Linked DNA regions of Zea mays. The protein of the gene in region 2 binds, or shares a complex with, the protein of the main gene of each other region. Links are inferred from orthologs where the notes say so. Each region holds a gene or a part of one and is shown on either strand. Other genes may lie near its edges.

The links.
Region 1: DNA-directed RNA polymerase II 19 kDa polypeptide (region 2) and DNA-directed RNA polymerase II 16 kDa polypeptide share a complex: the UniProt entries of both Arabidopsis thaliana proteins name them as parts of the RNA polymerase II complex. The link is inferred for Zea mays from reciprocal best matches to the Arabidopsis thaliana genes NRPB7 and NRPB4.

The regions. Positions count from the first base shown.
Region 1 is NC_050099.1:248,642,058-248,645,015, reverse strand, and holds DNA-directed RNA polymerase II 16 kDa polypeptide, read right to left. Parts: upstream 1,663-2,958; 5' UTR 1,443-1,662; coding exon 1,394-1,442; intron 1,251-1,393; coding exon 865-1,250; 3' UTR 501-864; downstream 1-500. UniProt on the Arabidopsis thaliana protein: DNA-dependent RNA polymerase catalyzes the transcription of DNA into RNA using the four ribonucleoside triphosphates as substrates. Second largest component of RNA polymerase II which synthesizes mRNA precursors and many functional non-coding RNAs.
Region 2 is NC_050101.1:156,254,566-156,258,563, forward strand, and holds DNA-directed RNA polymerase II 19 kDa polypeptide, read right to left. Parts: upstream 2,801-3,998; 5' UTR 2,697-2,800; coding exon 2,581-2,696; intron 2,485-2,580; coding exon 2,319-2,484; intron 2,150-2,318; coding exon 2,099-2,149; intron 1,835-2,098; coding exon 1,769-1,834; intron 1,306-1,768; coding exon 1,237-1,305; intron 657-1,236; coding exon 591-656; 3' UTR 216-590; downstream 1-215. UniProt on the Arabidopsis thaliana protein: DNA-dependent RNA polymerase catalyzes the transcription of DNA into RNA using the four ribonucleoside triphosphates as substrates. Component of RNA polymerase II which synthesizes mRNA precursors and many functional non-coding RNAs.

The DNA of each region.
Region 1 (2,958 bases), on a different chromosome or scaffold from region 2:
TTGTGACTGAATTTGATTTGTGCTCTACTTGATGCTTATACTAACAGTCCGCACTGTGATAGAGCTAGATATAGCAATGGTAATTAAGTTTACATGTTAATTAACTTGATTAACCAACAAGGTTCCACTAATCCATAGAACACCAACCTGAGTACCGGCAAGAAAAAGATGTGTCGGCGAGTCTTCAGTTCTGGGCCTGCGGTTTCTATTTGGGAAGGAGTGTACTACAGCATGAAGGAGCAGGAACTGAAGAACATATACTGGATGTTCGTTCATTTCTGCCTTGAAAGAGTCCTACAGCACGAAGGAACCGAAGAGAGCAGAACATAATCCAAGCACTGACCTAGGGGAAGGGTGCTTTGCATCGAAGGCCTACAAAGTTAAAATTCACGCAATGGAAGCGTGTCTGTGTAGACAGACTAGAAACAGTTTGAGATATAGCTGAACCACACATGTGTTCGTAGTCGTAGGTTAAGCGTGTCTGTGCTCGAGCGATTAGGTTCCATTAATTCATGTATACATGACTAGATGGAAAGCGGATGAAGATAATATGAACCTTAACAATAGCAAGGAAATCAGTACATTTCGAGCTGAAGAACAGAGGGCATGGCCAACTCGGATCCTCATCCTCTGCAGGCTTCTCGTGTAGAATTCCAGACAGATCATCAACCACACACATACTACTAGTATATTGGATTATCGATCAAACAAGGTTCTAATCAATACGCAGACGTGAACCTCAACGATAGTAGTGTAAGGCAAGTAAAATTTTATCAGTACATCGTCTTGATGTTGAATTCCCCTCCTCTCTGGATGCTCGCTACTCCAAGAGAAAAGAAGATAAGAGAAGAGAGGGCTCCCGCTCTACTCGAACTTCTTGATGAGGGAGAGGTCGTTGAGCATCTTCTCGATCTTCTCGTCCCCGGGGTCGCCGACGAACCTGCCGCCGGACTTGAGGGAGGGGACGAGCGCGGTGGCCTCGCCGCTGGTGTCGGGGCAGAGGTTGCCGAGCGTGCAGAGCTCGAACTCGGCGAGGCCGTAGCGGCTCAGCGTCTCGCGGACCTGGCGCACGGCGTCGGGGTTCTTGTAGCGGCTGAAGCGCTTCACGTACTGCAGCGACTTCTCGAACACCTGCGACACCTGCGACGACGGGTCCGACTCCGACGACGCGTGCTGCTGGATCTGCTCGTACTTGTGCTCCAGGATGATCGCCACCTCGCAGTTCATCAGGCACTTGGCCTTGAGGAACTCTGCGCCCACAGGCTTACGGGTGAGCTGAGTGAGATCGAGAGGGAGGACGAAAACCCTAGCCCGCCCGCGCGCCCAAGGACTGGACGGTGGTTGAGAAGGGAGGGGAGGAGAGGAGAGGAGGGCGGCGCGGAAGAGCATGGACCTTCGCCGATCTTGAGCTCCGCGGCGTTCTCCTCCTCCTCGCCAGACATCGCTGGTGGCTGGTGGTGCTTCCGACCGGGGCGAAGTCGCTCGCTGGAGTCGGCCGACGGGGAATGGGGCTGGGAATTGCGAATTGCGATTGGAGTCGCGACGGGAGCGGGGAAGCCAAGGATGACGGCGGGAGGGCTATGCCTATGTGCTGGGCCGTATCGCCATGGGCTCTGGTCCAAACTTACAGATTGGGCTATGCTCGGCGTGGACTGAGCTGGGCCTCGGAATAGGAGTTTTTTTTTTTTTTTTTTGCTTCCTACCTATCATATCGTACGTATCACCAGATGGTGAGATATTGTGCATCATCCATTGAGCAGTCTACTTCCCTAATTCCTGTAAGCTGCCAGTGTCGAGTCTCTATAACTCGGTTCCTTGCATCTTTTTGGTGCCGATAAGATTAGCTGTTCGCTGGGGCTTTAAGCCATAGCCATCTGTTCGAACTGTTCTAATTATAATTCATAAAGATAAAATATACCAATTAAAGTCAAGCCAACAAGCTTGTCTTTTCTAGGATATATGGCGAACCTCTATAAAAGAATGTTTTCGGTAGACAGCTCTATATCAGATTAATTATTTCCAAATGTTTTTTTGTCATAAATCAGTTCCATTTTCTGCCATCGAATTGTATTTTTACACAAACACCTGTGCGAATCTGAATTAGGTAGCATCTCATCGTGCTTGTTATTTTGCTGTTGGACAGGTCTTATGTATAGGACCATGGCAGAGATTTCTGCCTTGTCTTTGTTTTTAGGGATATAATGATAGCAAACCACTTAGTCTGTAATGTAAGCCGAAATTATACTGAGATTGACTTAGAACACTTGCTACATTTCAGTCCTAGTTCATACATTATGTTATTTTAACCGAACCCCCGCAATCGCAGGATCATAGAAGCATGTCACGAAAATATAATATGTTCAACGAAGAATCAAGGATTGAGGATGCAAGTACAAAAATATCAGAACTACAACGTTCAAAAATTTATGAGTATGGATCAACAACAAAAAAAATTGAGGCTGCAATATGCAAACATTCAACACCTCATTCTACATCCGAATCTCTTCCTCTGCTGCCTGCCTTAACAGATCCAGCTATCAGCATAAGGACACTTCATTTTGCATCTCTGTGTACAGGATATGAATATGACTCCACGATCCAAGGCCAGAAGATGCAACTGAACATGATCCAAGTCATAAAACCAATGAACTGCCAAGCCTGATCTTCTGATGTGAACTACAACTCAACTCTCAATCTGGTCGATACAACAACAACAACAACAACAACAAAAACTTCCACAGAAAGGCGAACACACAACTAACCAGAAATCAGCCTGAGGCTTCAGATTGGCTCCCCACCATGGCACACACTAGCATCTAGCGTGATGAAAGGAGAAGCACCACACCGTCCTCCACAATACTGCCATCTACCTTTTTCTTTTCTTCTCCCAAAATTCCCCCCAGCCAACCAATGTTGGTAAACACTCTCAAACAGGCGAGCGACGATTAGAGAAGCCGA
Region 2 (3,998 bases):
AGCCAAACAGTAAAAGTGACTAAACTATTAGTTTCTAATCCCTCGAAGGGTAACTAAAAGGGACTAAATCATATTAATTCCACCTTTTAGCCATCATTTATTTCAGTTACACTAACGACAAAAGAATGTTAAAGCATATTTTAGTCTTCTTACAAGTCATTTAATACGAATATTTTTAGTCCATGCAACCAAACAAGGTAGGGACTAAACTTTAGCCTCTATAGGCCTTGTTTGGCACAGCTTATTTTCAACTTCTTCACAAATTTAAGCAAAAGTTTTACCAAACAGTTAGCTTCTGCAGCAGCTTATCAGTTCAGCTGCTTCTCAAAATACACTAAAAGCAGTCAACAAGCAGAAGCTATTTTTCACCAGCTTATCAGATAAGCTGTTTTTTCAATAAGCAGCAGTTGTGCCAATCAGGGCCATACTAAAGAACCAAACAGGCCCTAAACAAGGTCCTAGTCACATCATTCTCAACAAGTTCCGCAGTCAGTACAGCCATTGCAGTTTTAACGGACCAGCGATTACACACGTCTGCGATAGTACTCAGAAGTCAGAACAATGGAGTACAATCTCGCTTCTTAGACCATTTACACTGCCGCACCAGGATCGCTGATAACACCCAGAAAATCATCCTTTATTGTGCCAATGCAAAACTGCAAGAGCAGAGATTAGACCGTTAGAACATTGAACAAGTACAGCATTGAACTTATAACAAGGCACTAAGTATGAATTCAAATGCACAATGAAGTTTTGTAATGAAAATATCCCTTCAGCTATCTAATATGCTTTTCGCGAGGGATAAACAATAAGTTCTTGGCACAAGAAGATGTAAGGCATATAAAAATCTTCTAGGCTAGTGCTAAACGAGGGTACGAGACTAGAGTATCCAAGGCCTAGTTAGTTCCAAACCAAGATACAGGACGGAACATCACTTTTTTATGTGGTAAAAGAACAGCACAATCCTGCGTTCATAGCTGATTAATATGGCATTAATCAAGGTTACTAGGCATAAGTCCTTTGCTCATACAATCTTAGAAAAGAATATGAGAAAAGTGACTGCAAAATGTTCTGCATTCACATAATGTCGTCGGAAAAAATGCAACCATTCAGTGGCACCATAGAACTTGTGATGTGGTTGCCATGTTCAGGCCTATACTCAAAATTTGAAAGAAAAAAAAAGGAGCATTCAAAGTTGGATTTTACTGTAAACAATGTAAACAGTAATAAGCTTACAATTTCTGTAGCATCGACACGAGTACCAATAATCTTCAGCCGCACCTCACTCTCTTTTTGAATTTTCACCTGAGTAAACAAACAAGCAACTACCCATGAGCACAGCAAAATGACTGCATCAAGGATTCTTTGAAAGGAACAATTGTGACTCACCATGATACCCAATACCCAAACGTACTCTCTTTTTAAAAATATATTCAAATGCAGCCACATATTGAATCATTGATGCAACTTGCAGATTTAGCATATAGATATATTTTTTACAAAAACTTTTCAAAATATCACCAAAATCCTCAAGAGTTACAGTTAGCAAAGCATATGAGAAAGCAATAATCCAATGAATCATAAATATAGTTTGTGCTTACTGCAAACTCGATGAGATTAAAAAGTTATATACCCTGTGTTTTTAAATATATGATGTTTTAAGGTCATTTTTAACTAATTAACTTGTCCTAAATGTCATATTCTTCTGCAGAAGTTACAGATAATGAGAAAACTCAACACTACTTAAATATATAGAAAAGTGACATACCGATCCATCAGAAGTTGTGTAGTTCGGCACATCTCCTGATTGGAACTCCATATCGTCTGGAATCAACTGCATTGCAATTGATAGCTCAGAGGAAAAACATTACTCATCAAAACAGTACTGACTGACATTAATTAATTGAAGTTTAAACAAGATGTCTATGCTAGTATCCTGTGACAAAAGGCAGCCATGTATATTTATGGAAGTGATAAAGGACTAAAGGAGCGAGTAAGCAGAGCATAATTCCTAGAATGGCCAGAAAGAATTCTGAAATTTCTTTAGCATTCAACACTTTGACTATGAAGCAGCTCCAAACAAGGCAGAATCACTCACATGGTTGGACACGAAGATCTGCACCGGCCCAGCCTCCGCAAAGAAGCCCATCTGCAGAGTGCCAGAGTCAATAACACACAAAGTTTAAATACCAAACCAATCCTGGCAATCACATTCTCCAACACCAAGATCATCACCACCCAGCCAACCAGCACTCCAATTCACATCCAATTCGAACGAAGCAAGCACAGCCCGAGCGGGGAGGCAACTAGGCACCCACCTTGTTCACCATGGTGACGACAGCTTCGAGGATCTCGCCCTTGAAGGGTCTAAAGACAACGCACTGGTACTTGACGGGGAAGGTGACGTATCCCGTGCCTTCCCGGATGAGCCCCTTGCCGATGTCCTCCACACCCGTGATCGCCACAACGAACCCGTGCCGCCCGCTGAAAGGAAAGAGCGAGAGAAACCCGCAAGCCATCTCAGCGCCGCCCTCCACCTCGTAGCCTTAGCCAGGTTTAGGAAGGGATGGGAAACCCTACCTGCAGGTGCCCTCGACGTCCTTGATGAGCTTGGAAACGAGCTTGTCGCGGAGGTGCGGCCCGAAGTGTCGTGGGTGCAGCTGCATGTTCCGCTCCAGCACGATGTGGAAGAACATCTTGCTCCGATCCCCTCGGCGGCGCCCGGCGGCCTGCGGCGAGTGGAGTGGTGAAGCGACCGAGTCTGTTCTGATTGGGCGTGATTAGTTGGGTGGACTCGGATAGGTGTACATTCGTGCTCGGGGCGGCCGGTTCAAGCGTTTCGGCTTCTGGAAGCTTCTAGCCACCAAAAGCTGCTGCGGACTGCCAAACGCTCAGTTTTTCATCCAGCTTCTATAAAATTTGTTGGGGGCAAAAACCATCCAAATCAACATAAACACATAATCGGTTGAGTCGTTGTAATAGTAGGAATCCGTCACTTTCTAGATTCTGAACCCTATGAACAATTTTATCTTCCTCCACACGTAATCGTAATAATACTCATATTCTCCCCACAGCCAGATTCTCCCCACAACCAGATTTTCAGAAAAGTTGGTCAGAAAAAAGCTGAACCAAACAGGCCTAGTCCGATTGAATTTTGGGTTGGCAAGGTCGTTATTTCGGGCGTGTCGGATCTGCGATTGAATCAGAGTAGGGGCTATAAGTTAAAGTATGTTTGATGGAGTCACCAGCGGTTATCTTGGAACATTCTCGCAGGCCTGATGTACTAGCGTGTTACAACAGATCTGTTATGGTGCTGCTTGCAGTAGGGGCGAAGCCAGGATCCAAAATTAGGGAGACCAGATTAGAATAAGGGGTTGTTAGAAGCATTTTTTGCACTATTTACATGAGAATTAGCTAAAAACTAACATGTCCTATAGAATTAGGGGGGACATTGCTCCCGTGTCCCCCCTACCGTCGCCCTTGGCTTGCAGCCTGCCCCTTGCGTTGGGTACATGCGCGCTGCTAACTGTTAGATGTGCATTGGCCGTACGCGCTAGCTCATGACTACGTCCTATGTGATAGCGTGGATTTACACTGCTGAAGCATGGACGGGGTCCAGCGTGGATGCGCGCGCTACCACCTAGCGTGCTGGTGTCACAGATGGAGGCCAAATACATGTGCTGAATGACACGATCAGAAAGAAGATTGTGGCATATCTTAGTTACCCTTTATAGGTTGTATTTATATTATAATATACTCTTACGTTTCAAAATAGTTGCCTTTTAGCTCTTAATTTTTATGTCTATATTTAAATAGATGATCATGAATCTAGACACATATATAAAACACATGTTTTAATCAAAAATTATATAAACCTGCTATTTTCCTAAAATGATAACTACTATTTTAAAATAGATGAAGTATATATTATTAAGACACGTCATAAAATAGATATTATGGGGGGCGACCGGAGCTACAGCCCCCCTCCTAGATCCGCC